Linked DNA regions of Drosophila melanogaster. The protein of the gene in region 2 interacts with the protein of the main gene of each other region in a pairwise test. Each region holds a gene or a part of one and is shown on either strand. Other genes may lie near its edges. The genes, in order: CG13806, CG14744, Tengl3 and Lip3.

Region 1 (4,136 bases), on a different chromosome or scaffold from region 2:
TACCGAGCATCTGAAATACTCAATATCACTGCCCTTTTCGCGACAATGATAGTACCCAGAGCAGTCAGCGGGATCACCAAACAATCCAAGCCGCTGGCACTTTCCAGACGAACTGGGCAACTCGTCGTCATCAGATCCTGTGTTCAGGCAAATCTGCAGCTCGTCATCAAAGGTAAAGCCCGTTGGACAGTAGTTAAGATGCCATTTGCCATCGATGCAGAGGCAGAAGACATCGCTTGCCGTGCTGTTAGGACATGGGGATGGAGTATAATCGTCCTGGCACTCAACGCTTCCCACCCGGCAGACCAATCGGTTGGCATCGAAGTAGGTTCCTTCAGGGCATTTCCAGATCTGAAGGTGCTTATCTTTGCACACGCAAAACTCGTCCATTTCTGTGGCCATCGGACATTTGCCGATTTGGTGATTGGTACAGCTGGTAGTGTCTGTAGATACGCAGGCTTGGATAGTTTCGTTAAAGTAGTAATCATCTGGACAGGATTCAGCAGCTGCATCCAATCTGAGCTCCAGATAACTGCCGTTCCCCAACCCTTTTCCCGTTTGAAACAACAGAAAAGTTAGGAGGCAGATAATCAGGCGAGATGAATCCATGTTGCAAACTTTCTAAGTAGACCTCTTCACACTCCGCCTTATATAGTACCTCACAACCAAACGCAGAATGTTTCGGTATAATTAATAGATAAACTGCAATGTTGTCACGAAAAAAACATTCTATGGAACATTTATGACCTAGTCACAGCACTCTTAGCAAGAAAGAACCAAGACAGTACTAGTCCATTTCTATTGCACTTTTATTGGAAAAAAACAAAGAACTCATTCTGGTTTAATTACCCACGGACATGGTGGTTGAATCTTTATTATCAAACTGATACCTTTTGAAATGGGAATTCATAAATTCATGTCAAATAGATTGTTATTCCAGGGTAAACATGAGTTGTTTATTAAATGTAATCCATTGAAGAGGAATAAATAAAGTGCAGGAATGCATCTTCCTCAGCAGCTTCCCAGGACGCAGGAGGATAGCTCCGGTCGGTAGTAAGTCCCATTGGGGCAGTCCATGTGCCGCAGGGTGCCATTTAGAGCCGAGCAGTAGTAGTACTTCCGGCAGTCGTTTCCATCGGCCATCAAGCCCACGTGCTGACAGGTGTTGGGCAGCACCGAAAAGTCGTCGTCGTTGGGATCCTCGATGATCACCGAAGGATCATCGGTGCTGGGCGGCAGGACATTCGATCCGCTGCGGCAGACGTAGTCCACGAAGGTCTCGCCATCGTTGCACCTGTGCAGCGAGGGGTAGATGACGATGGTGTCGTTCAGGTTCTGGTTAACCGTCGACTTGCACACGTAGAAGATATTGGGATTGGTGGGCCAGGCGGCCACGTGTCCGGCATTGGGGCAGTAGTACTGTCGCTGCAGGCAGACGGAGTCAGTCAGGGTCAAAGTGCACTGGCCAGTCGTCGCATCGAAGGCCTTGTCGTTGCCGCAATCAACGGCAGCAGCCACCAGAGTGGCCCCCACGAAGTAGCACATGTGGTACTTCTGGCAGTCGTACGGATCTGGAAAGATGCCTTGCGAGGTGCACTGAAAGTTGCCCTCGATGCCGAACGGATGACACGGGCCCGTCTCGTTGGTGCAGCTCCCCAGCCGGGCGTTGCAGTAGTATCCATTAGCCACGTCGCACGATTCCACGGGAATGTTCACCCATCCGTTGGAGTGACGCACGCAGGTGGCCAGCAGCTCGCAGGACTCGCAGATGGGCCCGGGACTCTGACGGCCCTCGCAGGAGTTTGTCTCCCGCGGCTGGATGCGCCGGGTGGTAACAGTGGCTCCCATAAGCAGAGCCACCAGGTTGAGCAGTAACTGTTGGGCGGTGGGGACATAAAAATCAAATGCCATTCACTTAAGTTTATCCTATTCTGAAAAACTACCTACCACGCTCACTAGTATTCTTTCCAAGAACATGACGATGTATTTCCCCTTTTGGACTTTGTTTCTGGTTAGTTTAGGTCCAACTTCCACGAGAATCTTCGATTGTCTGATTCAGACTCATATGGTGACAGCAATAAAAGTCCCGAAATAGCAGACTTTAGATAGCGTTTTATATCTTTTGGGTGTCTGTTTGTCTATCTATCAACTTTGAAAAGGCGATGGGAGTTGGGCAAAGTGGCAAACGCAGCGGCGTTTCTAATTACAACAACTACGCGGATCGGAATGCCGCAATGATGGGTGAGTGAACGACATTTACTAAAAATTGGTCCAACTAGCTGGAGTGTCAAGTGGAGTGGGTGTTTAATGTGTAAACAAGTCGGGATTTTGTTTGGCCGACTTATTCAGAGCACTTTAAAGTGCTCTCGAGTAAATATTTAAATACCATTTCTTTCAATAAAACTGACCGCTAGCTTTTGTAAATATGCACTTTTAGTAAAGGAATTTAATGCCTAATCTTCGGTTCATACCTAATCTTCAATCATAAAAAATCGCTGAGAGAAATAACGGGAATGGGTTGGGTCACCGCTAAGCGCTTAGCCACGTCCTCCACCGCTCTGCTGAAGCGGAACCCTGCTGCGCGACCAGTGTGAACGAACTTCTTTGAACGATAGTCAGTTCGGAAGCACGCACTCATGTCGATAGTGTCACCTCGAACGCCCTAACAAATAAAAAAAAGGAGGAGGAGCAAAAGGACAAAGGATGAGCAAGATTCCAGGCAGCAATCTGGAGTTCGTCCGCGAGGAGGACTTCGTGGAGTACTACATCTTTCCCAAGATCCCCGACAACGTACAGGATGAGGGCGCGCTGCGCAAACTGATGCTTCAGATCCGCAACGAGATCTCGGCCATTGTAAGGGAAAAGTCCTTAGAGCGCAGCTATCTGTGGCACAAGGACGAGTTTCAGCTTCAGGTGAGGCTGGGCGGCGCCGAGGAGCGCCTGCTGAACGAGGAGACAAACCCGGAGGAGGAGGCGGAACTGGGTATGCGCACAATGTGCTATAAATAGCTTTGTTTCTGCAATTCGAAATCATCCATTTCCATGTCCCCGCCCAGGCGACCTCCCACCGCACTTCCACGGCGTAACCCACTATGGCGACAACATCAGCGACGAGTGGTTCGTTGTCTATCTGCTCACGGAGATCACACGTGCACGCGGCGACTGCATTGCACGGGTGAGCGATTCGGATGGCGAGTTCCTGCTCATCGAGGCGGCGGACGCCCTGCCCGACTGGGCGTCTCCGGAAACGTGCGAGCAGCGCGTTTATCTGGTCGGTGGTCACCTGCAGCTTCTCCAGAACTCCGCCGCCAGCAGCCAGGACAAGCCACTGACCATGGCCATGGCTGTGCAACGTATACGAATGAATCCCACCCTGTACCGCTGCTCGCAGGAGATACAGTCGTGCATTGACGCGCGGCTTAAGGAGTACCAGATCGCTCAGCCGCACTTCTCCATTCATCGCCAGGTGCTGGAGCTCCCGCATAGCGCTGCACAGCTTCTGAAACAGAAGCCAAGGCTGCTCTCCTCGGCGGTTAGGGCTTTCTGCGAGCGGGACTCGCTGGACATCAAGGCACTTCGCACCATGCGATATTTCCCACCGGAGGCCACACGCGTGCGCACCAACGTGCGTTTCACCCGCTGTCTGTACGCCATGTTGTCGCACCAGCAGTATCTGCCCGAGAAGAGACTCGGCTGGCATCTCACGGATCCTGTATCCGAGCCGGAACGATATAAGGAACAACTATTGGGCTTGAAGCTGGCCAGTGGACTGGAGATCCTGGCCACTCAAGCCAAGCGGGTTGAGGGCCAACAGCTGGAGGACCTTCCTGCCTGGCGATCGTATCTGCGGAGCTTGCTGAGCAAGGGCTACTTCCGGGACAACATCGAGGGCAGTGCCGAGTACCAGGAGCTGCTGAACAAGGCCAAGGTGTACTTTCGTGGCAACCAGGAGCGTTTCCGCACAGCCTCCAGAGCGGGTGCCGAGATCCTCGACCTGTTGCTCCATCCAGCGGAGGCTGCTTCCGAGGAGCTGCGCGATGAGGAGAACAACCTGCAGCCCAGCGACTCGGATGAGTGGTTGAATATCAGCGCTGAGGATCTAGACTCCATGCTGCAGGATCGCTACGGACCCAAGA
Region 2 (6,024 bases):
TAATGCCACATGCAACATGAAAGAATGATTTGAAAATTATTAACTCATATAAGTTCACGTGTTCCCAAACAACTAGAATACTTATGGCCATCCATAAAATGAGCCATTGGCGATAAGGCAGCACAGCACTATAAATAAGTTCATTCATGAGCGATAGTAAATGAGCACGCAAACAGAGGCCTGTCGGTCGAATTTAATCTATTAAACAATAGCAAGAACCACTGATAAGAAGCTGAGTATATTTCTGCAGAATTAAATACTAGAATTTGGCATGAGGCCAATGCCGAAGACACATCATTTGAAATCAATTTCCCGTCTTGCATAAACCATCTCTAGCAATCTGGGTGCGATTCCGCACTTGGGTTTTAAATATTTGATGACTTTCACACCGAATCATGCCAGAATCAAGCCAATAGCACAGAAAAAGGACTTCTCCTTCCGTTTTGCCGTTTTTGCATTCGATTCGGGACTGCGAGGCTATGTAAGAACGTGAAGGAGAATGCAAAACAATTTGGTAACAAGCAAAATGCATCAAATCTCATGGCCACGGAGCCCTTCCAAGCTGGGTGAATCGGAATACGATTCGGAATCTCGAGTGGCGAGTGGCGGCGAGGGGAGAAACCAAAGCTGTTGCAAAAACATGTCACATTAAGTGCACAGATAGAGGTTCTGGCGGACGGACTGATGGACGGATGGACAGATAGACGGGAAGTCTGAAGGAAGTTGAGTGCTTTTATTGCTGCCGGAATTCTGCGTGCCATTTGCCTTGGTAGTTGAAGCTGCAAGTTGGCTTTCGCCTTGTCTTTTTCCCTACACTTGAGCCAGCAGCTCTTGTTTATGCAATTGTACTTAAATCCAATGGTTATGTTTCAGCTGCAGTTGCCATAATGGCCGGAATCAAGTGGAATCTACATCTGCAGTCGATATTAATACTGCTCCGGCGAAGCATCGAAAGAATGCTTTAGATATCTTCCGGTGCAGGGTAAACTTTGAAAACTCCAAAAAAAATATTCACATTTTCCCAACCTTGGGCATCAACTATTGTACAAATCCAAGTAGTCTATATTTGTTAAATAACTTTAAAGTTTAAGCTAGGAATATATTTGGCAGTAATATCTTTGCACTCCGTTAAAACATTCTCTGATCGATTGTCTTTGTTTATCTACAAAGCTGAAGTATCAGTTGGAGTATCTTTGGCGCACAAATCACTCGTCCGTCCCATGAAAGTTGACGGGACACCAACCTCCTCCAGACACTTTAACCGTAATTAACACGGAGCTTTCCCCATCGTTTCGTTGCCATCAGTTTCCCTTCATTATGCAATACGCTTTTATTCTGTGGAAAAATGCAGGGAGAAGTGGAGCGTCGGGGCAGGACAGATTGCCAAGGGAGTCTCCTTCTGCATTTCAATGGACCTCTGTCAGTGTTTCGCCTTTTGCCGACGCCTTTCGAAAGCATTTCCTCTTCATTCACTTAATTAGTCAGTACCTTTGCTGACGCAAAATCCCAATTATGCTGGTATATTTTCAAAGCAATCATATTTGGCAGTACCAGGGATCAGATCAAAGCTGAGATAAATCCATGAAATATACTTAGTGTAAACGATACGTGATTAAATATTATTGAAAGGAGCTATGCTGGTTAAGGAGCTTCCTTCACTTGTTTCATTTTTAATAACATATCTCATATCAAGACCATATGTATATTCCAAATCATATTGGCTTAAAGTGCTGATCTCTGGAAAATTCATGAACAACATCCCACTCCACACAGACCGCATATAAGAGGAACTGCAAGTAAACGAGCCACAGGAAAACTCCAGCGGATCTACGAGCGTGGAAATCGAAGGTGACGCTCCACCACATTGTGGTCACAATGGTTATTACCAGAAAGAGGTAGCAGTTGTCGCCCAGATCGCCGTACACCCACGAATTGGCGCCCACTTCACGTACTCTGTGATTGAATATAAAGGCCAAGCTCATGCTAACCAAAATCGCTGAAATATCGAATACATCAGGTAACCATTAATGGAAAATATAACTTTTGCTTACCAAAAACTGGACCTCCTATTATGGCGGCGAAGGCCATCCGCCCATAGCCCTGCAAGGCCAGCTGGTAATTGGCTATAATGTCCGGAGTGGCATTGGAGACAGCCTCAAAGGTGACCGCCATGAAGCTCTCGGACAGATTGAATACGATGCCCACAATCTCGGAGAGCACTTCCAGTTCTGTGACGGCGAGCCAGAGCGTCACCATGGAACTGAAAAACGTGAGGATAATAAACAGCTAGGAAGGAAGGTTGATACCCATTCGAGTCTAATCAGCACGCAGTGGTGCTGCTTTGGATCTTCTTACGTGGTGATAGCTGGGCGGCACATCCGTTCGAGAGTGCAGGAAGATCACAATGGCTAGCGGGACTGTAAGGCACGGCGACCACATGGAGATGCTGAAGTCGAGGGTTATGTGCCAGGTTTTGTAGACGCTGGACACCCCAGCTGAGGGTCAGCGAGGTTTAGGAATCAAATGCACTTCTGATGTACTCCCGCATACCTACAGTGCACCAGGGTAATGACCACGAAAGGATTCGTCACGATCTGCGTGCAGTTGAGCAGCTTACTCCAGCCGTGCTTGATCTTTTCGTAGTCCACCACGGGTATGAAGAGCTGCAGTACGAACACCAGGGGGCACCTGGCAATCAGGTATATTCGATTGCTCCACCCACCCAGCTGCCACGCCTCTGCATCAACGGGATTGAGAGACTGGAAGAACTCCGTGAAAAGTTGTAGGTTTTTAGGATTCTCCGAGTCATGGAGCGCTGTGCGATTTAACTCGTAGTCAACGTGTTCGGATCGTCTTTCTGGGATGGGGGTTACAAAGTAGCCACTACTGGTCATATTTGAGAAGTGGTTTCCCGTGTCTCTGGACCGACGGTACTTTGTGGTGTCCTTAATCCCAATGTCATCCTGCTCTTCCCAAGATATTAGCTTTCTTATCTTTGCATTTATTTCTGTTATTGGTGGAGGAGTTAGGCCCTCCAAATAGTCCAGTTCTCTTCGAAGTTCTGAATGGTAAATGTAATTAGTTGCTATTATAACTAGAGTAATTAAAAAATTGGGGGAATATTCCTTACTTCTGATGTAGTACCGCAGCAACGCCAAATCAGCTATATTAATAGCCACGTAAACAACGTAAATTAAGAAGAGCACTGAAAGTAGGTTTTAAAGATCAGTGAGTTGAGGCAAATCCAAAATAGATTCCTACCTATACCCTCTCCCAGGGTCACTGCTCCCTCCTTGATCATCACAAACCTCAGGACCTCCACACCCAGGAGAAGAAACAGTAGATCTCGCAGAGTGGAATGTCCGTTCATCCTAAAGGGTCTCAGAAAACACACTGTACCTCCACTCAGCAGAATGATGGCCAGAGTATTACCCACAGTTATGGTAAAGATGGGTGCATCGGCCCTCACGGGCATCAGATTAGCTATTATTTCTGGACTGCAGTTACCAAAAGCCAGAAAGGTAACTCCTGCCAGGTACTCATTCATGTGCAGCTTTAGCGAGATGATCTTGAGGACTGGAGAAAAACTTAATGCAGGATTTCGAATGAGCAATCAGAGGAATGTGCACTTTATCCAAAAACTTACTAGGTACCAATATTGAAGGACATCAGCCACAGAAACGCCACACATATGAAGGCAAACAGCAACATGAACAGGACCTCTGTTGCTTTGTCATCGATGTCAATTGAGCAGTACATCATCCTGAAGTAATTGAAAAAGTTTATAATGCGCTTGCAGTCACTCACTTGGGTGGCCATCCTGCAGCGATAGTTGTACGGAAGTCTCATCACGGCCCTACAACTCATCTGTAAGAGCCAACAAATGCTATGGCCACCAATTTCTCACTGTATTCTCACAATATCTTACATTCTTGATGAAGTAGTGAAATTCGTGGTCCAGTTCTGTTATGTTAAATTTAGTCCTTTTCGTTCGCCCACTCATTGTATTCAAATTCTTCCCTCAAAGTCAAAAGAATATGCTGAGAATTAAATTTAGAACTGACGAGAATCGAACAACACTCCTTGACTTTTTCTACAAAGACATTCAGGTGACCGGCCAATGTGTCGACCCCAGCACATTGATAAAGCATTTATTTAGAAGAACCACATTCATAAAACGCTGAATAAATCAACACCCGAAGATTGCGATTGTGACGAGGCTCACGCCAAGGGTCTTCCCCTAATACGAACCTAAACATGTGCCATCGACGAGGGCTGTAAATTAGCCATGAACCACCAGATAAGATGGCAACCCATACGCATAACTGATGCTATATAAGCGCCACGGCGACCCACGATCTCCATCAAGCGATCGTCAACTATTACAGCTGGTAATCATGGTTTCCAAAGTGGCTCTCCTCCTCGCCGTCCTGGTCTGCAGCCAGTACATGGCCCAGGGCGTCTATGTCGTCTCCAAGGCGGAGTGGGGTGGTCGCGGCGCCAAATGGACCGTAGGCCTGGGCAACTACCTCAGCTACGCCATCATCCACCACACCGCCGGCTCCTACTGCGAGACCCGTGCCCAGTGCAACGCCGTGCTGCAGAGCGTCCAGAACTACCACATGGACTCCCTGGGCTGGCCCGACATCGGCTACAACTTCCTGATCGGCGGAGACGGCAACGTGTACGAGGGGCGTGGCTGGAACAACATGGGCGCCCACGCCGCCGAGTGGAACCCCTACAGCATCGGCATCAGCTTCCTGGGCAACTACAACTGGGACACCCTGGAGCCGAACATGATCTCCGCCGCCCAGCAGCTGCTCAACGACGCCGTCAACCGTGGCCAGCTCAGCTCCGGCTACATCCTGTACGGTCATCGCCAGGTCAGCGCCACCGAATGCCCCGGCACCCACATCTGGAACGAGATCCGCGGCTGGTCCCACTGGTCTGGCTAGGTCCTTGACACAAACCACGCTAAATAAAGTTAAACGCACCATAATCGTGTTTTTTGTCTTGGCAATACATTGGTTTATTAGGCAGTCGGGCGAATCTGAATATTGTCTTGGAAGCCATGGACCCACTGCAACTCTATGGCCGTAGTGTAAACTAGGAACAACACGAATAGGGACCACATGAACAGCCCAGCGGATCGGCGGGCAACAAAGTTGAAGGTGAGGCACCACCACAAGGTGGTTGTGATGGTTATCACCAGGAATATGTAGATGGTTACACCGTCATCTCCATACAAGACTACTTGACCGCGGGAGTTGAGTTTCTTCTGTAAGACCAATTCGATGCCCACATTGACTGCCAAACCTGCGGGAAAAGACTGTTTTACTTATGACCTCTACAATGACCTTAAAGCAGAAGCCAAATCATTGATTGATGATTGATGAGCATGATTCCTAGAGAAACTGGTTTTCTGAGATTTGAAAACAATTTTAGATGCTGAAAATTGACATTGGATAGTCTAGCACGCAATTATCGACTTTTACCACTAACTATAAACAGAACCACCGATGATGGCTCCAAAAGCCATCTTTCCGTATCCATGCTTGGCGAGATGTGCGTAGGCTATTAAGTCAGCTGTGGCAGCGGACACCGAGTTGAAGGTGATGCTCATGTAGGACGGGGCCAGATCAAAGACGACCCCAATTATGGATATCAGCGCATCCATTTCCCAGGCACAAATCCAAAAGAATATAATCACGGTGGAGATTGTAAGCGCGCAGTAAGACTGTCGAAGTTTAAGGGTAATTTATTGCTTTCTCTAAAGAAATCGATCTTACCGAGTGATAAAATGGCGGGATGTCAGTGCGAGAGTGCAAGAATACAACTATTGCCAGGGGCATCGTTACCAGTAGTGACCATATTGCCATCCGGAATTGAGGAACGTAATACCATTCCGCGTATTTGTGCACCAGCATAGCTAGGGGATGGTAAAATAACATGAATTTAGAATTAAATTATTTTAAATTTAAATAAATAGGAATACATTAACTAAAATATAAGCTATGTAGGTAT
Region 3 (4,012 bases), on a different chromosome or scaffold from region 2:
TGTCATGCGAAAGATTCGACGATTGGAGCAACGAAACCCACATGCCTACTTTATCAGAAGGAAACTGTACGCACTGGTAAGGAAATAGATTAAGGATTCAGATAATATATATATTAGCGAACTCTACTCCCTTTAAACATATCTATAGCTGGGAATTTTCGCTGTGCGCCCTGATAACTCAGAATTCGACGTGGATACCGATGACTGCCACAAGCTGGGCGGGATCATGAAGTACGGCTTCCCCAGCACCAATGATATCACCATAAATGAGACCTTTGACTTTGTGACCTCTTTCGATCGAAGAAACTCTGCGATTCTGTGGATGTGCGAGCGGGTAGATCTGTCCAATCGCGTCGTCTACGGGGATTCCACATCCGTGGCTCCAGCTGGAGCATTTGGACAGTCGGAGGCAGCCAGGGTATTTTTCCTGTCCAACATTAGGCCCTTTCTAAACAGAGGGTTCAATCTCACTGTCTGGGATCGACTGCTGCAGTACGTCCATGAGATGAGTCAACGACATGGAACCGTGTATGCCTACACCGGATCAATTTACTTGCCCCGGGAGCTAAAGTCGAACAGTTGGTTCCTGGAGTTCCAGTCGGAGGAGAGAACCATGGTGGCCGTACCCACCCATTTCTTCAAGATCCTGGTCATTGATAAGAAGTTCGCGGGCGATACCATTCCCTATGCGGAGGCCTATGTGATGCCCAACTCTCCGCTGAACAACAATGTCGAACTGAAGACGCTTCTCAGCGATGTCCGGGAAATAGAAAACGCTACTGGTCTACGGTTCTTTGAAGGACTCGACCGCAACTTTGTCAACACCCAAGCATCAAATTCATTTGTCCCCTCAGTAAACGGTCCTTTAACAAATCCGTTAACGTTGCCGATGACTAATGCCTTAGACAGTCACAGTGCCCTCACATCAAGTATTTCTCCAAAATAGAATATAAATACATATATGTTGAAGGAGACAATGATGGCCATGAGAAATCCTTCAGATAAACAATGTTTTATTTGCTTTTGAGGGGTAATTCACAGAGCCCATTTCATGGACCGAAAATGGCAGCTCCTGGGACTGGGTTTCGTCCTGGGAGTGACTGCGCTCTGTGCATCCTTCGTGGGTGGAATGTATTTTCAGCACACAGATGCCAGAAAACGCCTGCGGGAACTAATACAAACGGATCCCTATGCCTACTATCTCAGTCCCAAAATTTATGAAGTGGTAACCAATACTGTAGTAAAAGAATATAAGTAACACTTGCACCAAAATAATTTCCCTAACCAGTTTACTTTCTTTGAGAGCAATAATGAAGACGATCACCGGATGAGGCAGATCATGAAGTTTGGGTTCCCTGGCCTGGATGACTTGCGTCTGTATAGTGACTTCGTACTATCCTACGATCGCCGAAACCGAGTGGCCCACTGGGTGTGCGAGCACCTCCAGGCGGACAGCATACATCCGAATCGAGGCAGACGTGGTCGCAACCCATACCAGCCGGATTTGAGTGTTCCCTCCAACTTCCGATCGGAACTGAGCGACTATCGGAGATCTGGATTCGACCGAGGACACTTGGCAGCCGCAGGAAATCACCATCTGCAACAGAATCACTGCGAGGATACGTTTTTCCTAACGAATATTGCCCCACAAGTGGGCCAGGGCTTCAACCGAAGCGCGTGGAACAACTTGGAACAATATGTTCGAAATCTGGTCCACCGATTTGGATCCGTTTTCGTGTGTACTGGTCCACTATATAAGCCCAATCAAAGACCGGGAGGTAAGTGGGCCGTGGAGTACGAGATGATCGGACTGAATATGGTTGCAGTTCCGACGCACTTCTTCAAGGTGATCATGGTGGAATCAAAACTGCACCTGGGTAAACCCTATATGGAGGGCTATGTCCTGCCCAATGCTCCAATACCAGATGGTCTGCCACTACGATCGTTTCTCTGCGACATCCGGGAGATTGAGCACTACGCAGGTCTCAAGTTCTTCGATGGTTTGAGAAGGAGTGCCCTATTCGGCAGCAATTATCCAAGTGAATCTCGAGTTTTTCGCGAATTCAGTTAGTGGAGGGATCCCAATCGTTAAATATATATTTAACTTAACTGCAAGCAGGCTATCTTCTTCCGACTGACATATCGACAAATTGTTACATTACACACTTCATCAAAGAAACACTACACGAAATTATTGTAAGGCCCACTTATGTCCTTTAGCGAATCAAATGTTCATCAGTGGGCTTTATGTGCCCTTGCGGGAGTAACCGGGTTTGTGTGTGGAGCCTTTGTCCAACAAGAGGCGTCCATAAGGCAGCTGCTCCAGCAGATTCGAAGGGATCCCTATGTCTACCATCATCGTCACAAGTTATATCCGATGGTGAGCGATATGAAAAAGTTAGAAATGTTTGTAAGATTTTAATTCTAATATTTTCCCACAAGTTATCCACCTTTGGGACAGACCATGAGGCCCGTTTGTGGAATCGTCCTACTTCATGGGCCGACAAATTCAGGGAGCTGGTATTATCACCGATCCTCGATTTAGTTAGTGCTACTGTGACGCTGAAATGGGATTCGGCAACCACAACTGATCTGCTCGACCTAGTCAAGTATGGACTGCCCAGCACGGAGAACTTGTACGTCCATAAGGACTACGTGGTTTCGCAGGACCTGCGCACGAACGGCGTCAGATGGATTTGTGAGCATTTCCGTGGGGATTATCAAAGGGTATCGTCGGATGGAGGCGGATATAGCACCATGAATCTTCGCTACAATGATGTGTATGTGCTGAGCTGCGGTTCGATGAGCATATGCAAGGCGTTCAAGCGGAAAATCTGGAACGATCTGGAGAACTACGTGTCCAGCATGGCCAAGGAGTTTGGCTCAGTGTACGCCTACACTGGGCCGATATACACCCCAACATGTTACGAGATTGGCAAATGGACCATGAAGTATGAGGTGTTTGACTGGATTCCGATACCAGTGCCATCCCATTTCTTTAAGGTATTAATCGTGGAGAGTGGAGTTCCGGGATCCCAACCCTTCATGGAAGCATTTATCATCGAAAACAGCCGAAGGGTTGGCGGCAAGTTGAATGACCACCGCGTCAAAGTAGGCGAAATAGAGCGTTACACAGGACTGCGATTTAACAAGATCATGCAACCCGTAGTCCAATTCGGGAAGGACTCATTTACGGTGGACACCAGGGCTTGGGCCGGCAGGTTGGAGGAAATTTCTGAGCCTTTGGTAACATTTCCTCCCGACCAGAAATTAAATTTAATATAAACCCCTGAATGTAAGGAATATTTTGATAAAATTGTGAAAATATACATATTTATTTTAAATGTACTTTGATTATATCTTATTCACTTATTTATTTTAACCCAACGTATTTAATGACGTCACTGCATTCTATTGCACCACCTTACACATAACATAACTCGCAGCTGTTCGCTAACAGCAGCGCTGTTAAGTTCAACACGATTATCGATTCGGCGATGGCAGCCGAAAGAGCACAATCGATTGACATTCGATTTTCCACTGCCGATTACCGATAGCTTACGTGGCAAGGCAAAAAGAGCAAAAAAGATCGAATTAGGGAACTGACGTGGAAGTTCGTTTAGCTCGAAATTATTCTTGTTTTTCAACCAGCGATCGTCCGCCGCGGCCGTCGAGAGTTGAGGCCAACACCGAGTGGCCAAAATCGAGGAGTCAGTGGTCAGGAATCAGGCCGAGCAGCCCCCGAAATTGCTAAATCGCCGTGGCGAACTTTGAGCCAATCCGTGTGTGTTTTCTCTTCGTTTTCCGTGAAAGTTGTTTGTTGGCTTAGCGTCGACCCTCTCCGCTAAAACCCAGGTGATTAATCCGGGCCAGAAATGAATCCGAATATGTACGGGCCACCGCCCACGCAGTTCCAGCAGCAACCCCAGTTTGGGGCTCCTCCTCCGAATTCCGGAGGTTGGCCACCGCAGCAACAACAACTACCGCAGCAGCAGCCGCCGCAGCAACAACT
Region 4 (4,743 bases), on a different chromosome or scaffold from region 2:
TTATAAATATTTTGTTAACAATGGCTAAGCATTTGTTTGTTGTTGCTTTATGTGTAAAATCGGCCATTCAATAAATAAATAAAAAAAAGGACAAACGGTTTCTACGAAATGTAAATAGTCTTTGTTTTTCTATAAACAAATAAATTAAAATTAATAATGTTATCCCAAGACGTAAGAAGGATTAAAATAAGGTGCTCAGAATTTAAAACAGCTCGATTTTTTTTTTAAATCAGTTAAAAGAAAATGAAGGGTAATAATTATTTCATAGGTGTACCGTCCTTAAAGTGAATTCAATCGTATATTTCGTGATGTTGGCAATTAAATATAACTGTGCAATAGCTTAATAAAACAAAGGGATCGCGTTTTGATATCAATGAACCATTTCTGGGAATAACCGAAACAAGTTCGTTTCCGGTACAAGCGATCATCTATCTAAATCCTTATATACCAATGACAACGAATGATCAGCCATCAGTCGTCAAAGTATCGTAATGGGCTCCTCTTTATGTCCCGTCTCTTATCTGGCGGTCTTGGCAATTATCGTCCTAACCAGTAATATTACAGTCCAGGCTAAAAGGACATTCAGGATCCAGAAATTAGAAAAGGTGACTGAGGATACCTCATATCTGCGCAGTCGTCTGCGTATCGCTGAGTCCGAGGAAAATGAGTTGAAAGTCAGCGGATATCTCGATCTGAATCAACGACTCGACAATGATTGGACGGTACGTAGTTTATAATATATAGTGGAGGAATTAATTATTTATTATTCCTTCAACAGGTTGTGCTTAAGGTTTCAAGATCCCCGGATAGCGATGGAGACTACGAGAAGGTTTTGACATTCGAAATGCAGCTTTGCGACTTTATGAAGAGCTACTACAAGGATATCTTTTACGAACGGATCAAGGAATACTCGAATGCCCCGCATCCCAGCAGCTGTCCTCTGCCCAAGGAACGCTATGTACTAGAGGACTATCCCTTCAATGTCAAGTTGCTCAAAAAGCTGATGAGTCCGGGCTTCTATCGCATAAAGTATACCCTCAAGAATGAAGAGACTAAAATATTATCGTACGTTCTGGATTTGGAGTTGGAGGAGAACTAATCAATCTCGAAATTTGCTAGCTCAAATGCTCCGTTTATTGCCTGAAAAATAAATCTATTCGTAGGATTGCATCTGCTTCAAGACCTCGTCGTAGACGTATTTTCTGGCCTCAGTGCCCCAAATGAAATCCAGATGGGCCCACTTCTCGAACGGCACCAGGTAGTCCAGCGCCATGTTGGGCAGTTCGTCTCTCAACTTGCGGACATCGCTCACATCGCACATCCAGTCATTGGCTCCGTAGTACAATAGAACCGGGGCCTTGGCATTCTTTAGCTTGTAATCCGGAGGGAAGTAGCTGCCGTACTCATAGGGATTACGGAGAGCGGTGTAGTCGAATTTACGGAACTTTCCAGAGTTATATTCCTGACAAAAGTGCAAGTTCTGGTTCACCGATGCGCCAGCCGGAGACGTGGCCTTGATGTGCTCAAGGAGTTCCTGACCAAATGGAGAGCAGCATTATAAGTTACATGGAAATATAATTTATAGGACCAAGTTCATTTCCAGATACTTACGTAGTCCAGCTGTTCGGTATCATAGCCTCCAATCAGGAAGATCTCGTTGGCGCACATGTCGGCATAAGGAGAAGTGGCCTGGCACATCTCTATGCCCAAATCCTGCTTGAACTTATTGCTGGGCATGAACTCCATGGATCCGCAGACCTCCACGATGGCATTGGGCTGGCCCAAAATGGGTGCAAAGGCGCGGGTCAAGGGGCTCTTCATGTTGCCCATATAGGCGGCTGGTCCCAGAAGATGGGCGGACTTGATCTTGTCATTGTACTCGGGTCTCTCCGACACCATCACCAGATAGACAGTGGTACCCTGGGAGTGGCCCACATATTGCACCTGCTGCTGTCCAGTCTTTGCCAAGACATAATCAATCATCGCCGGAACGTCGTACATGCCGATCTCGTTCCAGCTGAAGTTCCAGAAGATCTGCCAGTAAGTGGGCCAGTACTTGTGCGCCTTGGAGTAGGTGTTGCCTCGGGCATTGCCCATCCACACATCGTAGCCGGCATCGGCCAGCATATAGGCCAGGGATCGCTCTGGACCCATGAGCACCCAATCGGAGGAAGAACTCAGCATGCCGTGCATGAGGAAGGCCACCGGTCGGTTGGAAGATTCACCCGTTTTGGGGGAATACGGGATGCGGTGCATAGTCAGGATGTAGTTGTCACTGGTGACCACCTCGTGGCGCTCCATCGGGTAGCCATCGTCTTCAATGCGCTCACCCTACAAAACAATTAAATGTATGCTTATTTTTAATTAATTTTAATTTGTAAATAAAAAGCAATTAAATGGTTTCACTCTGTCAAAAGAAAAACCAAATAATAAATAACAAATATGTAATATTAAATTGTTTTCAAACTCTTAAATTTTTACTTACGCAATCAGAAATAGGCCGAGATCCGGCCAAAACCAGGCCCAATCCGACCAGTAAAATGGTCACTTTTAACGCTCCTCTTGTCATCGCAGTACTATGATCCGTGTGGTTCGGGATCACAGCTTTTATAGCCCCTTGACCACTATCTATCCATTGATAGTCACAAACAATCAGATTTATTGGCAAACGCGTACGAAGACCCCCAAGAAATCAGTTAAATATATATGAGAGTTAGATACACCTGGCCTAATCAGCTTCTTGTTTAGATTGAAATCGCGGGTCTCAAATTTACAATCTAAAGAAACCCAAACACCCCGCCAAAACGACGGATTTTCTTATCGATTTTCAATTATTTTGGTACCCCTTACTTTAAAAAGTCAAGCATATAAAATTTCCATTTATTTCAAGACATTTGCCTTTTAAGAGACCTTTTATTATATCACCAATGGAAATTTATAAAAAAAAAAAATTATACTAAAACATTAATAACAATAGGCTACCCTTAAATTCGGGCACATTAAAAATTGAGAAGAGGGTATTCTGCAGCTCGATCTTTTTAATAAGGCATATAATTTTTATTATTATTTGCAAATACGTAATTCGTTGAAGATAATTGTTAAATATAGAAAATCCGATTGCAAATGAAAACAATAAAATGCCTGAATCACGCCAGCAACATGTTGCTAGTGTCGTCGGCAACATGCAGCACTTATGCAGCAGCAACATGTGCGCACATTAATCCTTATGCGGCCCAGTTAGCACTTTAGCCCGACTTTGTAGCCTGGTCATCAAAATCAGGGCTTGTGTGATATCGATTTATAGAGGCCACACATGATTGGTCTGCCGATGGTGTATAATACACGTATCTCCCGAGCCGGCTGCCCCTGACGACGTGACCATAACATTGGCATTCTTGGCCCGAAGGCATATTACCATATCGCACTTATGACAGTTCAAGCCATAATTCAGTCTAGAGTGGAGCTCATTTTCAAAGGATTTCCAAAATGAAACACCAACAAGTTACGGTGGACTATTGGACCATGTTTAAGACATCGGGATTGTGTCTTTTACTGGCCATTTGCGGATTTGTACTTCTTAAGTAAGGACATTTACTAAACTATTCAATACTCAATACTTAATGCGCAATGTACAAATTTGTAATGTGATCATAATACCTGGCACCTTATAGTACCAATTATTTCTTATAGAATGGTGCAGACCATTTTCTGGCTACCTGGACATCTGAAGAAGAACCAGCAGCGCCTGGAGGATCTGGCCAAAATCTATGCCAAGGATATTAGCGAGGAAGAGAGGGACGAGATCGAGAAACTGTTCAACAGTAAGGAGCCGCTGACTGAAGAACGAATCAACCAGTTGCTCGACAAGCCAGAGACTTCAGAGCCAAAAAAGGAGCAATAGTTAAATAAATTGATTCGCATGTTTTATATATATATATATATATTTATGTATATTGAGTGTATAATCGATAATTTGTTGATACAGGTTCTAGTTCTTACTTGCATATCGTATATGTAACTCGCAACACAATCAATCGTTTAACCAATCCATCAATAATGCCTGTAACGCTCAATTATTCAGGGAGGGGGACAACAAATAGAATAATAACTATTCACGAAAGTCGCTCGTCTGTGGAGCGGTTACAAGTTATATCCATATTAGCTACTGATATAGGCGGACTCAGAGCCCTTTCCTGCTTCAAATCGGTCGTTTCTGGTGGCCCATCGATTTTGCCAGCGACCTCGACATCTCAACCTCGGAATGTATCTAACTAACAAACTCATATCAAATATAAGCAAGTGCGCCAATTCGTATGCATATCGACATATGGACATATGGACATATACATATAGATAGTCTATATTAATTTTAAAAGCTCAAAGGGGCGCAAGTCTCTCTCATCAGTTGTGTCTTTAGTTTTTTTGATTTGGTTTGGTGATACCTGCATCTGCCGCCGACTCCACCTGACCACAAAATATCACTTGAGTATCTTTTGCTATATTACACGTAGGCTAATCCGTAAACGAAGGTGAAAGGTGCCAATCGATCGGATGAACTTAATTAGGTCGAGTTGGATCGAAGATCCGAGAGAGCGCCTCCCCAGAGTAGCGCCGATCAGTGGGTATATGCTTGCCATTTAGCTGATGCGAATTATGCGGGTTAACATATATATATTTATAGGGGTTTCTATTAATCTGAGATGGCCGCCCAATGTGTCTTTATTGGCTAGGGGCGTGTATTGG

Evidence for each region.
Region 1: the proteins of CG14744 (region 2) and CG13806 interact in a two-hybrid assay, tested with the Drosophila melanogaster proteins (one large-scale study listed by BioGRID).
Region 3: the proteins of CG14744 (region 2) and Tengl3 interact in a two-hybrid assay, tested with the Drosophila melanogaster proteins (one large-scale study listed by BioGRID).
Region 4: the proteins of CG14744 (region 2) and Lip3 interact in a two-hybrid assay, tested with the Drosophila melanogaster proteins (one large-scale study listed by BioGRID).

The regions. Positions count from the first base shown.
Region 1 is NT_037436.4:2,264,343-2,268,478, reverse strand, and holds CG13806 (uncharacterized protein), read right to left. Parts: upstream 2,086-4,136; 5' UTR 1,978-2,085; coding exon 1,948-1,977; intron 1,876-1,947; coding exon 1,012-1,875; 3' UTR 839-1,011; downstream 1-838. Other genes in the region: obst-I (obstructor-I), read right to left, coding at 1-609; ecd (ecdysoneless), read left to right, coding at 2,704-2,983, 3,057-4,136.
Region 2 is NT_033778.4:8,705,366-8,711,389, forward strand, and holds CG14744 (uncharacterized protein), read right to left. Parts: upstream 4,122-6,024; 5' UTR 4,004-4,121; coding exon 3,929-4,003; intron 3,868-3,928; coding exon 3,647-3,867; intron 3,588-3,646; coding exon 3,262-3,587; intron 3,206-3,261; coding exon 3,131-3,205; intron 3,062-3,130; coding exon 2,555-3,061; coding exon of another isoform or gene 2,551-2,554; intron 2,496-2,550; coding exon 2,356-2,495; intron 2,287-2,355; coding exon 2,052-2,286; intron 1,997-2,051; coding exon 1,713-1,996; 3' UTR 1,023-1,712; downstream 1-1,022. Other genes in the region: PGRP-SC1a (peptidoglycan recognition protein SC1a), read left to right, coding at 4,398-4,955; CG14743 (uncharacterized protein), read right to left, coding at 5,033-5,316, 5,503-5,737, 5,790-5,929.
Region 3 is NT_033779.5:2,236,405-2,240,416, reverse strand, and holds Tengl3 (testis EndoG-Like 3), read left to right. Parts: upstream 1-2,165; 5' UTR 2,166-2,209; coding exon 2,210-2,380; intron 2,381-2,442; coding exon 2,443-3,285; 3' UTR 3,286-3,341; downstream 3,342-4,012. Other genes in the region: Tengl1 (testis EndoG-Like 1), read left to right, coding at 1-76, 149-946; Tengl2 (testis EndoG-Like 2), read left to right, coding at 1,052-1,225, 1,289-2,071; Sec24CD (secretory 24CD), read left to right, coding at 3,876-4,012.
Region 4 is NT_033777.3:13,369,178-13,373,920, forward strand, and holds Lip3 (lipase 3), read right to left. Parts: upstream 2,728-4,743; 5' UTR 2,570-2,727; coding exon 2,486-2,569; intron 2,332-2,485; coding exon 1,612-2,331; intron 1,535-1,611; coding exon 1,154-1,534; 3' UTR 1,100-1,153; downstream 1-1,099. Other genes in the region: CheA87a (chemosensory protein A 87a), read left to right, coding at 492-722, 779-1,099; CG34309 (uncharacterized protein), read left to right, coding at 3,487-3,581, 3,691-3,901; CG9813 (uncharacterized protein), read right to left, coding at 4,720-4,743.